3 linked regions of the Caenorhabditis elegans genome follow. The protein of the gene in region 3 interacts with the protein of the main gene of each other region in a pairwise test. Each region holds a gene or a part of one and is shown on either strand. Other genes may lie near its edges.

Evidence for each region. Proteins that work in one complex are often made in the same cells at the same time.
Region 1: the proteins of lin-15A (region 3) and ifa-1 interact in a two-hybrid assay, tested with the Caenorhabditis elegans proteins (2 studies listed by BioGRID).
Region 2: the proteins of lin-15A (region 3) and unc-15 interact in a two-hybrid assay, tested with the Caenorhabditis elegans proteins (2 studies listed by BioGRID).

What each region holds. Positions count from the first base shown.
Region 1 is NC_003284.9:11,270,831-11,275,992, reverse strand, and holds ifa-1 (Intermediate filament protein A), read right to left. Parts: upstream 3,197-5,162; coding exon 3,088-3,196; intron 2,724-3,087; coding exon 2,652-2,723; intron 2,604-2,651; coding exon 2,440-2,603; intron 2,393-2,439; coding exon 2,279-2,392; intron 2,231-2,278; coding exon 2,133-2,230; intron 2,057-2,132; coding exon 1,197-2,056; intron 1,150-1,196; coding exon 1,010-1,149; intron 961-1,009; coding exon 742-960; intron 689-741; coding exon 650-688; 3' UTR 511-649; downstream 1-510. UniProt on the Caenorhabditis elegans protein: Cytoplasmic intermediate filaments make up the structural component of the cytoskeleton providing mechanical strength to cells.
Region 2 is NC_003279.8:7,377,188-7,384,913, reverse strand, and holds the start of unc-15 (Paramyosin), read left to right. Parts: upstream 1-1,716; 5' UTR 1,717-1,830; coding exon 1,831-1,947; intron 1,948-3,083; coding exon 3,084-3,140; intron 3,141-3,186; coding exon 3,187-3,273; intron 3,274-3,342; coding exon 3,343-3,453; intron 3,454-3,500; coding exon 3,501-3,556; intron 3,557-4,627; coding exon 4,628-4,847; intron 4,848-5,154; coding exon 5,155-5,259; intron 5,260-5,381; coding exon 5,382-6,313; intron 6,314-6,362; coding exon 6,363-6,492; intron 6,493-6,541; coding exon 6,542-7,318; intron 7,319-7,592; coding exon 7,593-7,619; 3' UTR 7,620-7,726. UniProt on the Caenorhabditis elegans protein: Structural component of the muscle thick filaments which is involved in assembly and organization of sarcomere myofilaments. Involved in ovulation.
Region 3 is NC_003284.9:15,730,125-15,735,906, forward strand, and holds lin-15A (Protein lin-15A), read left to right. Parts: upstream 1-1,843; 5' UTR 1,844-1,850; coding exon 1,851-2,129; intron 2,130-2,596; coding exon 2,597-2,686; intron 2,687-2,737; coding exon 2,738-3,175; intron 3,176-3,680; coding exon 3,681-3,785; intron 3,786-3,832; coding exon 3,833-4,000; intron 4,001-4,058; coding exon 4,059-5,138; 3' UTR 5,139-5,241; downstream 5,242-5,782. Other genes in the region: Protein lin-15B, read left to right, coding at 1-245, 299-1,372, 1,422-1,487. UniProt on the Caenorhabditis elegans protein: Synthetic multivulva (synMuv) class A protein. SynMuv proteins are required to repress the induction of vulval development.

The DNA of each region.
Region 1 (5,162 bases), 4.5 Mb from region 3:
AATAATATAGCAAACTGTAGTGCTCAGTGCAAATTTAAAGCTCATTTAAAAATGCAATAGATGTGCTTTTAGATGGAACGCTGAAAAAGTATTTGGTAACAATTCCAGCGGAAAAATATTTTGTTAAAACCCTAGACAGTTTTGTAGTAGCTTCATTTTCTCGAATCAAGCGCAGTGACCATAGTTTCAAAATATTTTCCCTTGTTTGGCATACGCTCCTACTTCAAAATTATATTTAAAAATTTAAAACATTATATTCGTGCAACTGGAATTTTAAGAAGGACAACACTTTAAACTTCTCAGTAACGCGAGTTTTAGATGTCGACGTCGGCTCATCTCGCCGATATACAATTATTTACGGCATTTCGTTCAGCTCTATTGATTAGTAACCAAAAACATACGCTTCCATTTCAGGTGGGCGAATTCCGACGATTTTGAGAATTTTACATCATCTGTTCTATGAAAATAACCTACGCAAATACATTGTGATCAAATTTTTTTTTGATGTTTGAATGATAAATGATTTATTGAAATAAGGTCAAATAAATGCGCAGAAATCAGCATGAAAGTTACAAAATGGGAAGAAGATTTTGGGATTTTCAACAAGAAATTGTCACAATATCTAGTTAATTGTTGGGAAGTCGCCTGATTAGGCAGTGCTCTGGCGTTGGATGTGGGTAGCACGTTCCTGAAATTAATATCAATGTTGTAAATATAATGACATTTAATTGTTGATCTCACCTCTCCTTCTTTGTTGAAGAGGATGGTTTGGACGTTGTTTCCGCTTCCGAACGAGTCTTCAGCATCATAGACCAATTGATCTGGTGGTGAGGCAACTCCTTGGTTACGGGCGAAGATTTTGAGGGTCTTTCCGGCACGAAGGACAAAGTCTCTTGGAAGCGTGTAGACATTCTCACGTTTTCCGTCGATACGTCTCTTCAACTTCCACTCACCGATAGCCTGAAAGAGAACAAAAAATATTTGAAACTGTTGTGATTCAAGTTCCTACCTCGTCCTTGGCACGATGTGTGTTCTGGAGGACGATGAACTTTCCATCCGGCGATGCCTCGTGGATAGAAACATTTCCCTTTGCAGAACGCTGGAACGATTGACGGGATGCAGTTTCGCCCTTGACGACTCTCATCGTCTCTGAAAAAGGATGTATGTTTTAATGGAAAAAATTGTCTTTCTGCTACCGGTATCGGTTTCCTGTGTGATAGCATGGGTCTTGACAACCTGTTCGACAAGTTGCTTGAGTCCAGCACGGTTCTCTTCTCCTTCGAGCATCTTTCTGTAGATGGCGATTTCGGCATCCAAAGTTTGTTTGGTATCCAGGAGCATTTGCAATTCGACCATAAGGGCTTGGCATTCCTCACGCATTTTGCGGATTTGGGAATCTCTGTCGTTGAGGGCTGCTTCATAAGATCTCTGATCATCTTCCAATTGGTAGTTGAGCTCTTGAATTTGTTTCTCGAGGAGAGAGTTGCGGCTTTCAAGATCAGCGAGCTTTCCACGCAAATCGCTGAGTTGGGTGCGGAGTCTTTTGACTTCTTCTTTGGCATACCCTTGTTCCATGTTCTGTCTGGCAGACTGCGTTTGGATCTCTTGGACCTTAAGACGATACCAGGATTCCATGTCATTACGGTGAACGTTGTTGACTTGGTCATATTCCTCACGGATGTCACGAATAGCCGAGGAGAGTTCGTTCTTGAAGAACTCGCGGTTTTCTGGAGTAGTATCACGAGAAGCCAAAGTTTGAAGCTCCTTGATCTCATTGTCATGGACACGACGCAAGAAATCAATCTCCTCAAGAAGAGTTTGAACTTGGTTTTGGTAGTCAATACGATTGAGGGTTTCTTGATCCAAGTCGGTACGGGCTCTTTGAAGCTCAGAAAGCAAACGCTGATTCTCTTGCTTGATCCGCTTCACCTCATCCTCAAGCTGAGCAATACGACGTTTCAGAAGGCTAATTTCAGCTTCAAGATTAGAAAGGGTTACTAGAAGTGCGTCGATCTTAGCGCGATCCTGTTCACGGCCCTTGGTGGCATCTTCCAATCTGAAAAATACATTTTGTAGAAAAAGTATAATAACGGTAATATGCTGTTCATAATTTTCAAAACATATGTTCGTACTTTCTGCGCATCTCAGCGAGTTCATCTTGCATCTTCTTGAGTTGACCTTCCATATCCTTGCGTTGCTTATTGGTTTCATCAATCAGCTTTTGAGCATCCTATAATATAGTTTTCTAACCAAAAGTTTCCTTTCTGTATTTTCCTACCACAAGTTCTCCCTCATACATATTACGAATGTTGTGCGTGTCTTTTCCCCATTTGGAACGAAGTGCGTCAAGATCGGCTGCCAATTTTCTATTCTGGGCTTCTAGGAAACGGACCTAAAAAACAACTATTGGGTGTGGTCCATCTTATTCCTATTACACACCTTTTCGATGTAGCTAGCAAGTCGATCGTTCAAATCGCTCATTTCTTTCTTCTCACGTTCACGAGAGTCACGGATGGTTGATGCAGCATTTTGTCCAAATGGCGACAAGCCGGATCCAGCACCTGAGCGCATCTCGGTCACAATTTTGAGCATACGATCTTGGGCTGGAATATGTTGATTTAAATGTTTTGCACAGACAACAATAAACTTACAAGTAACGTTTCCGGTTGTACGCCCTCCGAGCGGAGCTCTAGCTGAAGGTGTTGTGGAAGTGAAAGACATCGCTGCAAATCGTAAATTTCTATTGTGAAAGTGAAAAGGGCCGACTGTACTCGGCAGCTTCGAAATTTCAAAATGAGGTTGTGAGTTGTATGGCAACCCCTGACTGCCGTAATGTGTGACCAAGGAATTAGTCGGAGGCTGACTGTAGAGACAAAAGCGGAGTCTCAACGGTGCGCAAACTAGGTGGGCGTCAAATTTCTTGCACTGCTCCTCACTTTTTATTCAACATTTTCTACTCCTCCTCCTTCATTGCTACCAACCGCAGCTTCCTCCCACACTAATGATAATAGCATGTAGACAAAAGGGATTAAACGAAAATTGCAATTTTTTGAGTTAGTTGAAATTGAGGGCACAAGAAAGGCTTACTCTTTTCAATCACTTCGTAATTGACAGTTCGTGTGGAACTTTGCTCGCTTCGAGCGCTAGAAGCGCTTGATCGTCGCGAAGATGGAAGAGAAACAATATAACCTTCCATAGTCAGAAAATGAAATTTTTTGTTCCTCAACTCTTTTTATACATGGCGGCAGAACAAAACAGGCAATGCAAAATTAATATATTTCAGTATTCTAGACTGTTGTATAAAGAGAAAAAAACCTATGAGTAACCTATGAAAATCTATGAGGAGAAATAGAAAACTCAATCAAATATTATTATTGCCCTTTTCCACGAAAGGAAATGAGATCATAGTTGTTTGCCTATGTATATTTATATTGATTCAAGTCGGTGTTTGGAATTTTTTTGCAAAGGGAGGCGTCAAGAATCACTTTAAAATGGGTGTGAAGTGAGGACGGAACGGCGGCTTCTTGATATCTGGCGCGAATGCGGAAAAAAGAATAGGTGTGAGGGATGGGCGCGTCCTCCAAAAATCATCTCATCCTCAACTCAGTCAACCCTTACGTCGTTACGATTCCTCTCGATTCTACTTTTTTCGCCTATTGGACATGCGTTTTTGCATAAATTCATACGTTTCGAGGCTTTGCTAAAGTGCGAAATGACATTTGAGATTTTTTTGGGTTGAGGTGATTCATTTCAATTTGCTACCGTGCCTACGCACTTTTGTGGAAGAGGAGACAAAAACTAGACAACGCCTCGGAATATATGTTTGTACAAAATTGTTCAAAAATTTGAAGTGAGAAGAAAATTAGCCTTGAATTAACTTTGAGTACTCACGAGTAGTTTATTGATTGATGACTAGTTCAAATGGAATAACGGTGCAAATATGTTTGAAAAAGTTTAGAAACACCTACATATATAAGTTGCGAGAATATGTGTTAGTTGTCTGGTTTTCACAAAAGCGATTAAATCTGGGAACACTCCTATTCTACTTCTGTCACTTTCAAGATTGAATATGGATTCGTTTAAATGAAATTCAAGCAACGGATTGAGCTTTAACTATGTAAAACACTGTATTTTTTCAGCAAACACGGTGTTTTATATTAGCAAGAGTATTTAAATTGCTCAGGTCTAAAAAAAAGTGATGTTTTTTAAACTATATATACATTCAGAAATGATCTACCAAGTTTTTGTAAATAAACTCCTGTTAGATAATTTATTTTGCCGAAGTGAATGCAATTTTCAGCCAGTTACTTACCCGGACGAGTAGTAGTGTACATTTTTATATAAAAAAGTAGTAGGATCTAGTTGCAAAAATATTCACTAGTATAAGATAAGCCTATGCGGATAAATGTGATGCTTCAATGACAATCGGAAAGATATCTCAATAAAAAATTGCGACAAGGCACAAGAAACGAGCCTCTTATTTACCGATGTGCTTGTTCATCTTGCACTCCGTCTTATCTCACTGTTTCATTAATCTTTTTTCTTTAAAAAACGCATGCCTGTAATGTTATTTTTTCAAAGTTTTGAATTTTCAATCGCTGATCAGTTAGATTTGTTAGTCTATGGTAAGCACCTTACCGCGAAATACAAAGGCAAACATTCCGCAACTCACCTCCTGGAAAGTCATCGGAATAATTTAAGTAGTTAAAATGAAGAAACTCACTTTCTCTGGTAATCTCCATCATTTTTGAAATGTTGATTGGTTAGGTACCGCTTCTCACTGAGAGAAGTATCCGTTTGAACGAGTTTCTGGAAAAATGGGAAGATAAACAGTTTTCTCTGCGTTCCAGCATGGCGGTGTACATAAAAAAGATATCTCGGCTCAAACATCCAGGGCTCTCGGCTATTGAACAATTTTCGAAAAGTACATAGTAAAAGGGAGAGGGGTTAAAATGGAACAGAATGATGTGTACAGTAAACAAAAATAAATGGCAGCGGCAAAGAGATGAGGCAGTAGCAAATGCATAGAAAACGGCGGCCCCGTGGCAGGTGAAACTTCATAATTACTGAGGATCATCTACTGTCAACCGGTCTAAAATGAGCGAGAGATCGTGTGAAAGTCGGGGACACTGCGATGGTTGCAGTACAAAAAAGTCGACGCA
Region 2 (7,726 bases), on a different chromosome or scaffold from region 3:
TTCTATCTTGAGAGAAAACTTACAGCATTATTAGCATATATTCTCGAAGTTATGTTAAAAATAATTTTAACAAGCGGCAGCACTGCTAGAAATCTTGTGGAAATCGTATGCAAGGTTTAACCAAAATCTGGCCTTACTAAAGTCTAACAAAAACTATTCAAAGGTATGTCCACTCTTTGTAAAAGTTAAATATAAATGGTCTACCGTTTTCTATTACATTTTATAAGTTTTTGTCACGTTTTGGAATGGAAATGTGCGACAATCGATATTTCCTCAGAAAGTTGTTAGCGGGGTAAAACCATCCTAGTTTTTGCAATCAATAAACATCAACTTACAATGTTCAAGATTTTTTCTTTATAATCAAATCTGAAATTAAGTTCAAACGAATGTCAGTACATTTCACCATCCCCTGCTTCTGCAACCAACTAATTATCTCGGTCATCACGATTTGTCAGCTGACACTGCTCAACAAGAGTATTTTGTTGTCTGGTTGATCAGTCGTAATGGAAGTAAAATTCTGAAAATTTAGAAAAGATTTTGAAATTTCACAACACTTATTTAAAAATGACATGAGTCACAAGAAGTAACGGGATTTGGAGTGAAAACGTTGATTTTTTGACGTCATGACACAATTTCAGTTTGAAAATCAGTTTATCAAGCCTATTTTTCATTAATGAAAAAACATTCGGAAGAGCCGATATATTGGAAATTGAATACCAAGTTATTATAGAAGTAATAAAAACTTGATTTCATCACAATTTGTTGTGATACGCTCCCCCACCCCCTCACACACGCACACACACACACATTCTCCGGGATACACTCAATTATTACACACTTCGCACTTATTTCTTCAGAATATGAGATCCAAGAACTTTTTAAAACATTGATCAGATCATATATGACAAGGCTATCAATTAAGGAAGTGTATTAATAGATATGGACAAGAAGAGAGCATAACTATCTGTAATTAAGGAATTTCAAATAGTTGACAACCGAGTTTTGGAATTCTTCAATATTTCGACTGTATAGACGTATTACCATTAATAGAAGACTTTTATAAATTTATGAAAATGGATCATCTAAAAGGTAACAGTATAGTTCTGAGAAACTTTAATGAAAATTGGAGACAACCCAGGCTTGAAGAGCCTGAATAAAGTAAGAGTTGATTACTGATAGGTGGAATGGCATTCGATTAATGGCAGTTCAGTCTCGCTTTTTCTGGTTTTGTGTTTCTTTTTTCTTAAGTGGTCTTCGTTTTACTATCCGTTCGTCAAAGTTCACACCTGCCCTTTCGGACATTCAAAAGGCACACACAAACACGAGTTGAAGTTTTTGGTGGATCCCGATGTTTTTTGTCTGTGCTCATCCCTTTTTGCTGAATTTCTTCCGTGTCGCCTCAACCCGAACCAAACCAATATCATTCGAATGTTTAAAACCTCCTGGCCCGCGGGTGCCTGATGCATCGTCTGCGCTTCGGCTCTCGGCGCGCTCTTCTCGAGATCGTATCCCGCCAACTCGTTGGCAAAAACACAATGGCATTTATCAGATACGCAGCGTAGAGTGGGAGGGTGGCTCAGTGCTAGGCAAGAAGGATTACACTGAGGCTCCTCTCTCGCTCCCTGCCGGGCACACTACCTTCGTAGAAGTTGATGATGAGAGATACTTGGAGACAGAGAGACGATCGACGACGCAACGGCGCGGGATGAGATATGTGTGTATGTGTCTTCCCGACGGCAGAGCCCCAACGCACAATCAGTCAGTCTCGAAGCAGCCAGCCAGCCAGCAGCACACACAGGGGCACCATCCATTTGAATACTCCATTTGATCATGTCATTGTATCGTTCGCCATCCGCTGCTCTTCTTAAGAGCCCGTCGCAAGCAGCGTTCGGTGCTCCATTTGGCAGCATGTCCGTCGCCGATCTTGGATCACTCACCAGACTCGAGGTAAATTTTTGAATGTTTTCTACCATTTCTGAACATTTCACTGCCAAAACCCCAAAACCCGTGTTCCATTTTTCATCGAATCGATGTTTCATTGACTGATATTTTGAATTATATCTGTAATTTAAATTTTAGTAAAAAAGGCATCTAATATAGCAACGAAGAATTGAAAAACTTGAAAAATCTCAAATTGTAGTTTTACAGTACTCCTCAGTCTCAAGAAAAATGTTTGTTTTGTCCCTAAATTGAATGATTGACAAATAACGGCGTTTTCAGTTTTGTAAATATTATTTTTCTGCATCAAAATGTATGGAATAAAACAATATTCCGAGCCAAAACACTATTTTCAGAAAAATTTTTAAACTTCCTAGTTTTCTCTATAATTAAACCTTTAGATTCCTTATTCTAAATCTTCATTTTGAAAAATCTGTTCATCATTCATCTCGGCAACTAGTTTCTTTGTGTAACTAAGATTTGCAACCTTTGTTTAACTTACTGCTTGCTTACATATATTTCCAAGAAAAAGTAGAACCCTAATTCTCAGATTTTCAAATATAGCACTTATAAAAAACAAAAATTACGCTTTTTTTCTTTGAAAAAACAATTATTTTTTGACCCCATATTTTCTCATGGTTCTAGCTACTGAATTTGCGATTATTGCCAATTGCCTGCAAAAACATTTTGTCAATTAAAATAAAAACAATTACCAAATCATTCGCTGGTCTATTTCCAAAAAATGCACTCTACGTCTCTCATATCTATAAGCTATTTTCACGTTTCTCTTATAATCTCCCACACTGTGTTGTAAAATTTCGAAGAAACCTAATGCATTATTTGTTAAGCTTAGATATCAATTCAAAAAAAAAACTAAATGGTAATATCGAATTGTATGCTACGAGTGTATTCTTGTCGTTTGATCTCAAGAAATTCCGGGACATTTAAATTTGTGACGTCAGGATGTTTATCTTCACAGTACTTTAAAAATATTCCCCACTCGGCACTAAATTTATAGGTCCGTGTAATAAGGTTCATCAAGAAGTTCAATCAGAATCGGAATCCATACTTTTTTTATCTGAATCAGTTCTTGAAACAATTAATTCTTCAAAGATTTTACAAATTAATACAGTTTCACTTTTCAGGACAAGATCCGTCTTCTCCAAGAGGATTTGGAATCAGAGCGCGAACTCCGCAACAGAGTGAGTTTTTACCTTTTATCTCTGATACCATGATTGCCATTTTCAGGTTGAACGTGAGCGTGCCGATCTCTCCGTTCAAGTTATTGCTTTGACTGACAGACTCGAGGATGCCGAGGGAACCACCGACAGCCAAGTGAGTTTCCAGTTTTTATGAATTTCAATTTAAAGAAACATCTTATACCTTTAAACATTATAATTACAGATCGAATCGAACCGCAAACGTGAGGGAGAACTCTCAAAGCTTCGCAAGCTCCTCGAGGAGTCTCAACTTGAATCCGAAGATGCCATGAATGTTCTCCGCAAAAAGCACCAGGTACAGTAATCTTTATGCTATAGCTTAAAGAATTCGTGAAATTTTAGGATTCCTGCCTCGACTACCAAGATCAGATCGAGCAACTCCAAAAGAAAAATGCCAAGTAAGTTATTATCTTTATTTTCTAAGTTTTTTTTCGTATTAGTACTTGTGCCTTCATTTTCTTCTTCTTCTTCTTCTATCTTCCCGCGTTGAAATGGCAGCGGAGGAGTTGGCGGCTCGGCAGAAGCTCTGAAGAAGAAGTATAAGAAGATGAAGAAGCATCAGCTCAAAGTGTGTAAAATAACAAACGTTTCTCGTGTGTGTGTGTTTGTTTCGCCTTCCAGGAAGAGATGAGAGAGATACAAGAATGTCTGCGTCTTACTGATCTTCTCAATATCTCTCACATTTCTCTCATTGATCTTGATGCTTGGCGAGCAATCTGCGTTCCCGTGAAACAGTGGTGGTGGTAAAAAATAATGAGATTAAGTTGGGATGAGAAGTTGAGATGAACGGGAAGGGGACAGCTTGAGAACTTGAATGACGAATGCATGAACATATTATAGAATATTTAAAAATGTAGTAAGGATCAAACATTATTTGTTTCATAACAAGGGGTTGCTAGCCTAGTCTTGCACCTCCTATCCTCTAGTTTTACAGCTCATATCTCGGTTATTTTTCATTTATGAACACATTTCAACAACAAAAATGCGTGAGAAATCCTGTATATTAATAGGAAAAATACTGTATTTTTCCCATTTAAATTACGATGGATTCATTTTATGATGTCTCTTTTTTTTGCTCAAATAACTTTCAATGAAATCAAGGAAAATCTTCCGTAATTTAAAACACATTTCTAGAATCTATGTTAATCTTTTAAACAATGTACATAGATGATCTATTCAGTTGTAAAATAAGTTTTAGTTGTTCCCTTCTTGCGTTCAAAAATCTTCGAGTTCAACTTTCCCATGAAAATAATTGTGTGCAACTCTTGACGTAATGTTTTTAAATCCAAAATTAGTTTATACTTTTCCACCCACTATCAATAGTTTCACCTGTCCAAACCGGCTGCTTTCTGACATCATTCATAGCCAAACATATTGTTGACACATCAAGAATTACTTGTTCGCCGCTGCTTGACTTTTTGTTAAATTCCAAATATCCTCCCATCCCACGCAATATCATCATCATTCAGGATCGACCGCGAACGCCAACGCGTCCAACACGAAGTCATCGAGTTGACCGCCACTATCGACCAGCTCCAGAAGGACAAACACACCGCTGAGAAGGCCGCTGAGCGCTTCGAAGCCCAAGCCAACGAACTTGCCAACAAGGTCGAGGACTTGAACAAGCACGTCAATGACCTCGCCCAACAACGTCAACGCCTTCAAGCTGAGAACAATGATCTTCTCAAGGTTTGTTTTTTGAAGTATCATGTGTATAATCTCTAGTTTTATCATCTTTATCACGTGCCACCGATCACTCTGCTCATCTTTCTACTTTTTTTTAGCAAAAAAATGCGGTAAAAAGAAAAAAAGAAACCCCTTTTAACAGGGGGTTTCTTTACTAAATTCTCTATTTTATCGCTACTATTTCCGCAGAGTGTGTGTGCAAATAGAGTACTCGAGATATTAGAAAGGAGGATGCTCTGTGAGCCTCATCGTTTTTTTGTCTCGTTCAGTGTGTTCTGTTAGCAGATCAGGGATCGTTAATGTTTTTCAGGAGGTTCACGACCAGAAGGTTCAACTCGATAACCTTCAACACGTCAAGTACACCCTCGCTCAACAGCTCGAGGAGGCCAGACGTCGTCTTGAGGATGCCGAGCGCGTAAGTCTACTAGTCCAAAGTGCCAAATTCAGAGGCGGAAATATCGGGTTTCTTCCTCTGACGCATTTCTGGACATTAAAAAAGCATAAACGTGCGAAGATCAAAGAACGTTGAAATTTCAGGAGCGCTCCCAACTTCAATCTCAACTCCACCAGGTTCAGCTCGAGCTCGACTCGGTCCGCACCGCTCTCGATGAGGAGTCGATTGCCCGTTCCGATGCTGAGCACAAGCTCAACCTTGCCAACACTGAGATCACCCAGTGGAAGAGCAAGTTCGATGCTGAGGTCGCCCTTCACCACGAAGAAGTTGAGGATCTCCGCAAGAAGATGCTCCAGAAGCAAGCTGAGTATGAAGAGCAAATCGAGATCATGCTCCAGAAGATTTCTCAACTCGAGAAGGCCAAGTCTCGTCTTCAATCTGAGGTCGAGGTTCTTATCGTTGATCTTGAGAAGGCCCAGAACACCATTGCTCTCTTGGAGCGTGCCAGAGAACAACTCGAGAGACAAGTTGGAGAACTCAAGGTCCGTATCGATGAGATCACTGTTGAACTCGAAGCTGCTCAACGCGAACTCCGTGCCGTCAATGCTGAGCTCCAGAAGATGAAGCATTTGTACGAGAAGGCTGTCGAACAGAAGGAGGCTCTTGCTCGCGAGAACAAGAAGCTCCACGACGAACTTCACGAAGCCAAGGAGGCTCTTGCCGACGCCAACCGCAAGCTCCACGAGCTCGACCTCGAGAACGCCCGTCTTGCCGGAGAAATCCGTGAGCTCCAGACTGCCCTCAAGGAGGCTGATGCTCAACGCCGTGACGCCGAAAACCGCGCTCAACGTGCCCTTGCTGAGCTCCAGGCTCTTCGCATCGAAATGGAACGTCGTCTCCAAGAGAAGGAAGAAGAGATGGAGGCTCTTCGCAAGAACCTTCAATTCGAAATCGACAGACTTATTGCCGCTTTGGCTGATGCCGAGGCCCGCATGAAGTCCGAGATCTCTAGACTGAAGAAGAAGTACCAGGCTGAGATCGCTGAGCTCGAGATGACTGTTGATAACCTTAACAGGTAAATACTAATTTTTTCAACATTCAACCCTTAAATTCATAAATTACAGAGCTAACATCGAAGCCCAGAAGACCATCAAAAAGCAATCGGAGCAACTCAAGATTCTCCAAGCCTCATTGGAGGATACTCAACGTCAGTTGCAACAAGTTTTGGACCAATATGCCCTCGCTCAACGCAAGGTGAGTTATCATTTTTGTGGTCTCTTAATTCATTTTTATATATGTTTAGGTCGCCGCTCTCTCTGCTGAACTCGAGGAATGCAAGACCGCTCTCGACAACGCTATCCGCGCCCGTAAGCAAGCCGAGGTTGACCTCGAGGAAGCCAATGGACGTATCTCCGACCTTATCTCCATCAACAACAACCTCACCTCCATCAAGAACAAACTCGAGACTGAGCTCTCCACCGCTCAAGCTGATTTGGATGAGGTCACCAAGGAACTCCACGCCGCTGATGAGCGCGCCAACCGTGCTCTTGCTGATGCTGCCCGTGCCGTTGAACAACTTCATGAGGAACAAGAACACTCGATGAAAATCGATGCCTTGAGAAAGTCTCTTGAGGAGCAAGTCAAGCAACTCCAAGTTCAAATTCAAGAAGCTGAGGCTGCCGCTCTTCTCGGAGGAAAGAGAGTCATCGCCAAGTTGGAGACCAGAATCCGTGATCTTGAGACCGCTCTTGATGAGGAAACCAGAAGACACAAGGAGACCCAGAATGCCTTGAGAAAGAAGGATCGCCGCATCAAGGAGGTTCAACAACTCGTTGATGAAGAGCACAAGAACTTCGTTATGGCTCAAGACACCGCTGATCGTCTTACCGAGAAGCTCAACATCCAGAAGAGACAACTTGCTGAGTCCGAGTCCGTAACAATGCAAAACCTCCAGAGAGTCCGCAGATACCAACACGAGCTCGAGGATGCTGAGGGCCGTGCCGATCAAGCCGAGTCCAGCCTTCACCTCATCCGTGCCAAGCATCGTTCATCTGTTGTCACCGGAAAGTCATCCTCCAAGGTATTTTAATTTTCTTTTTTTGTTGAAAATACTTTGATTTGTCAATACTTTAGATTTTATGTTAAACGCTCATAGTTAGAATAGACAAATACTTTAATCAAAAATGGTTCTAATTTCAATAAGAAAATTTCAAGAATTGTTTTTGTCTGTGTCGGAAAACAGAAATCCTGAGCAACTACTACTTATCATTTTATCTTTAAAAAAATTTGTTCCCAACACCTTAATTATTTTACGTCACTTGTTTTTCACATTTTTCGTTTGTTTTTTCTTGCAGATTTTCGTCACGGAAGACGATTATTAAACATCCCAAAAAGCGTCGCCATACATCAAATCATCAAATAAATTGCTAATAAGATGTGTATAATTGTTTTATTTTTCTTCTCTATTTCTTTCATGTTCTTCTTCTCT
Region 3 (5,782 bases):
AGCTTTTCATGGCGCGTGAGAGCAAAACGTACATTTGCCGTCTCCATTTCCTGGAGACCCTCGACGAGATCTACCAGATGCTACGTCTGAAATCTGCCGATGATATTCTGATTTGCCCATTGGACTTGATTCAGAACGCATTGATCACTGTTTCCGCCCTCCGTCCACACATTATTGCTTCACAACTTCGAAAGATTCTTCACGATTTTGCCGAAAGAAATAATCATCTTCGTGAAACGCCAGCGGTAAGTTTCCGTTTTTAAAATTGCACATTTTGAAACAAATTAATTGTTTTTAGGAATTGAAGAAACTTGGACAACAATACTTTGACTACCGCGAGCCCGAACCTGAGCCAGAGAGAAACGATGTGGATGAGCAAGAAATCATACCGAAACTCTTTCGCCAGCCACGCAAGCAAGTTCTGGAAGCTGATCAGCATGACGGAACTGTCAAGGTTATAGAGCAGGAAGATTTCAAGCTCCCAACTGTCAAACCGTCTGAAAATGAGGAATGCGACAATCCGGGCGTTTGCTGCTTCTGTTCGAAACGTGGCGACCGAGGTGGAATGCTTCGTGTCCCGAGAAGTGAGGAACGTTTGGCTAGATGGGTGGATAAGCTTGGACCAGAATTTGAAGCCCGACTTCACACCAATACGGAAAACCTAATTTGCCGAAGCCATTTCCCAGATGCAGCGTTCAGCAGTCGTGGTAGACTTTTGAAAGGAATGATTCCAGATGCTGCTCCAGAAAAAGTTGAGACCACGTATATCATTCAAGGGAACAACTTCCTCAAACTCAAAGAGCGCAAGTCTGGAACTGATAAGAATTCAGCCATTGATTTGGCGAATATGTTAAACCCCGACGGTGTTGAATATACTCAGGAAGAAGAAGAAGAAGAGGAATATGAAGAAATGTCAAGATCCCCAACGGAAGAGACTTCAGACGACGAGCCCAGTCAAGCAGCAGTTTACAACAATGCTCCAGTGATAAAACGTACCTATAGAAAGCGGGAGTTGTCAAACGAGGATGGACCTCTTAACTTGGTAACACCACCTGCTCATACTCCGAACCCAAGAGGGCGCCCAAGGAAGTATCCCAAGAATAGTGTAACACCAGAAGCTGAAAAAAGCCTCACCGACTACGACTACAATCCGGGAACATCTCAACGACGTGCACTTAAGAAAGGTTACGTACAACTCGAAGACGGAGAAATTGTCGGCGAAGATTGCGAATACGTGCCTGAAAAAACACCAAGTGGAAGATTGATTCGACAAGCTGTTGCTAGACGAAGCTTTGCTTTTGCTGATGAGGAAGAGGAGGAGGAAGAGTATGAAGAATCTCCAATTGTTAAAAAGCCCAAGATTGCTGGAAGAGTGAGTTTTTGAAAAATATATGCTTTGAATTATTTTTATATTTTTTCAGCCAGTCGGACGACCGCGCAAAGATGCTAATAAGCTGCCAACCCCCACACCACCCAGCAACGAATAAGTGGAAATATTTTCATCCACCGTTCCTGATTGTTGTTTTTATATATAATTTTTTCTCCATTGATGTTTTTGATGATTAAGTCATACGCATAGTTTTACCCTGTTACTTTGATTGCCCTTAAAATTACCACTTTTATTTTACCTATTTATTTTAATCATCATTCATCTGAAACCTCACAATGATGAGATGATCTCATCATTTTTATATTTTGTAGTTTTATATCAGTTTTATAAATGTTCACCGAAATTTGATGCCAACTGGTTTTTTTCTAATTCTTTCCAAATGGTTTCACATCACCAAATGACAATTTTCCTTTACTTTCCTATCTTGCTTATCATACACTATCACTTATTCAGATTCCTAATGTTGGCTCCAGCGGCTCCAGCTAAAGATGTTGTCTCGGCAGATGAAAAAGAAGAAATCATTGCGAAAAGAAAATTTCGAATGAAAAACGTTGATGCTATGCGAATGTCAAGCTTGGCGAACGATCGGATGGCTTTCAACAAGAAATGCAATGCCCTAGCGATGAAGTTTGTTAAAAGTGCCGGCATTGGAACGGATGCTCTGCAGCTCACATGTTTCCAGGAGCTCGTCCGGCATTTCAACCCAATTGCCGCAGTTGTTGTTGGTGTCAAAAGAGAGGTATGGCTTTTTAAGGATTTTCTCCCATTTTCTGATATATCTAGTTAAAGGTGGAGTAGCGCCAGTGGGGAAATTGTTAAAAACTACTCCTTTAGTGCCAAAAGGACCAAATATCAAAATAAAACTTTTCAAACATTTTTTGAAAATTTTTTATTTACTGTCAAAAAGTGACAATCATTCAGTGTTTGCCAATCATAATTTTGGAAGTCGACAAAAAAATGTTCTCCTACATTTAAAATGCAATTTTGTTTTGCCTACTTGTATTAAAACATTGTTGGGGTCGGAACATGCGACATTGCTGTGGATTTCCTCAAAAGCTCATATTTTTCATAGTTTTGGCAATATGCCAAAACTTTGACTGGAAATTATGAAAGATCTAAAAATTTTTGGAGTGTTTTATTATGATATTCGGTCGTTTTGAATCATGATAAGGTTGAATAAGAAGTGTTCTATCTTCAATGTTTCAGCCAAACTCCAATGTACAAGCTGAAAAAAAGACAATTCCAAAAGTCAAGACAATACAAACACCTACCCAGTCAATGGAATCTGTTCGATTGGTAAGCAGAAATGTTTGAAGATTATTCATAATAATGCGTATATGGTTTCAGCTCCAAGAGAAAAAAGCTTCAGCAACTGAAGAACAATCAGCTGAGTCTGCTTCGATCATGAAGCATTTTGCGAATACAATTCCAAACTCAACACCAACGCAAAGCGTGAAGGATGTTCTGACGGCGGCTGCAAGCAAGGGACAATTCAAAAGTAGCGCGGAAATTTTTTCACACTTTCCAAGTGAACCCAGCCCCTCGAAACCCCGTGCCACACGAGAGGGATCTCAACCGAGTGACTACACGTATTGTACCTATCTGACTCCGTGCATACTCTGCGAGAAGGCTCTTTTAATGCGAGAAAGCATTGCAATGACTGATAACGAAGCTGTGAAAGTTTTGATGGCGGCAGTGATGTCTGGCCACTTTAGAATGGCAACTGCAGAGAAAGCGATTCGTCATGAGAGGCTAAGGATGTGCTATGATCATGTTGATTTTGTAGTAAGTTGTTCAGTATTTTTTTCAAAATAGTTAAGTTTGAAAAGCTGTGAAAACTTTTCTAAAGCTGATTAGAACATAAATTCTAATTTAAAAGTTATTAATTTTATTTATAATTTTCATGGCAAAAGTTCAAAATTTTTGGTGTTTTGTTTAGTACAACCTCTATTTTATTTTATATATGTGATCGATATTAATACATTAGACTAGAAAACAAGAATTAAAGGACGATCCGTTCTTCAAGTCCTATGCACTACGGATCTGGGATTCAGGTGGTGCTCCCACTGAGTTATAATTTAAGCCACGTCCTAGCCGGGGACTGTGGCCGATAATCCTATCGTGGACTGCTCTACTTACCAATAGAGGCTGGATGAAAACCTAGGTGGTGAGGTTGGACTTGAACTTGTGACCTCCAGATTGCTAGCGGCCACCACTACCGACTGAGCTATCCTGCCCCCTTTTAGTTTAGAGATTTTAGTTTAAAAAAAACCATACACCACTTTTTCAGTACGAAATGATGTGCGACGCCTTTGAAGCTAAAACGGAAAGCGAGATCAATGAGATGCCACCGGACAGATTGATGCGTGGCCATGATATCTATAGAGCACTGAAGGTTTGATTGTCATATCTCGTTGTTCTACAACGGTGAAATGTTTTAAGAGAGTCGGCGACCTGCACAAAGGGAAGGTTACGTCGAACACTCCGCTTTACTCATTCAAGAATTCCATTAAATCTTATTACCGTAACCACGTGCCAAGGATGGTCAATGGGTCTCTCAGTAAACCGTCTCCCAAACCGTTCTCAGAGCTGGTTGCGCTTTTGCAATCGGTGAGTCTTGTGACACTTGTGAAAATTTTAAAAAAATTTAAAAAATTATTCGTTTAAGGTGCCTCCATCGACGAATCTAAATGAGTTGCTGAATCATAATCTTAGCCTCAGTGATGCTGATAAGCAAGAACTCATTCAACTCATCAATGGGAAAGATAATCGTTTCACATCTCGGAGACGGAAAATCGAGGATATTCTTGACAACAAGTTTGCTGCTGCAGCTGCAAAAGCTTATCGAGATCACAGTGAAGATGCACCTAGTGAACCGTATATTCCCAATCAAAGTGAGATGCAGAACACTGTAGAACGCAGAAAGCGAAAGCTTCATTCGCCTGAACAGGATGATGCTGGATCATCGAGTATCTCATGGAACGCAAAAAAAACGAAAACTCCAATTGACTATGTTCACCTAGCAACGCGTGTTTTGGAAGGTCATTCAATTGCCGACGAGGCGCTTTTGCACAAATCCAAAGTTTCTTATGCTCGTAATGCATTTGGTGAGAAGCCAAGCTCCCCCACTCCGCCATCTGCGCCACTAAAGTTCTGTGTTGTCAATGGAAAGAAATACTTGCGTTTTGAAAACGGAACCGGACCTCCGAAAGTTGTAGTTCAAGGGAATGTCGTTCTTCGCACTAATACTCTTAAAGACGCATTGACTACAGCGCCACGTGCACAAAACCAGCCTTCTACGTCCACAGACTCATCAAGCTCATCCGAGATGGAGGGAATACGTCAATCATTTGGGGCGCCTCAAAAGGAAGAAGAAGAAGAAGAATTAGTACCTACGCTTCTTCAAAACAAACCTACCCACGTGGAATCTTCGAGCCCCGTTGAAAAAAAACCACCAACCAAAACGAACGTAGAGAAACCAGCGGTCCGTCTAGGAAGAATGTTAACGACTGCATTTGGTTCAATGAGTTACCGAACAAGAAAATCGGTAGAGAATAAAACGGATCTCTTAAATCAGCCAACATCTGCCTCACCAAGACGCATGATTAAAGTTGTGAGAAACCGAAATCCTCACCTTGCGAAACAAGTGGCCGCCGCACCGAGTGAGCCAAAACATATTCCGCCAACGCACATGGAAAAGAAGCCGGAAGAGTTGCTCATGGATCCAAAGCCTGAGCCAATTTTTTAAACGTTCTTGATAACTTTGATTATTATCTTTTTAGTTCAATTTCATGTTTTTTTTAAACTGTTTTTTTCTCATCACAATCGATCTTATAAATATGTTACTTGTTATCAAAACTATTTCAAGAATTTCGAGTTTAGCGCATTTCGTGAGGAGGAAGTCTGAAATTAAAAGTTTTTGCAATGAATTTTTGTTCGGTCACACGGAATTTTTCAGGTTAGAAAAGTGTTTTGTGCGTGTTGGTTTTGTTGACGTCTTTTCAGAAAAAAAATTTAATGGTGTTTATTGATTGAAACCCGTATCCAAAAGATAAAACAACATACCGCAATTCCAAAAAAGAGCAAATTATGTTTGCCGGAAATGTTTAATTCCGGCCATTTGTCGATTTGCCGGAAATTTTCAATTCCGACAATTTGCCGATTTTCTGGAAGTTTTTAATTTTGGAAAGATGCCGATTTGCCGGAAATTTTCACTCCCGGCGATTTGCCGATTTGCTGGAAATTTTCGATTCCGGCCAATTGCCGGAAATTTCAGTTCCTGCGATTTGTCGGTTTTCCCGAAATTTTTAATTCCGGCAATCTGCCGATTTGCCAAAACTTTTCAATTTCGGCAATTTGCCATTTTGCCGAAAACTTTCAATTCCGGCAATT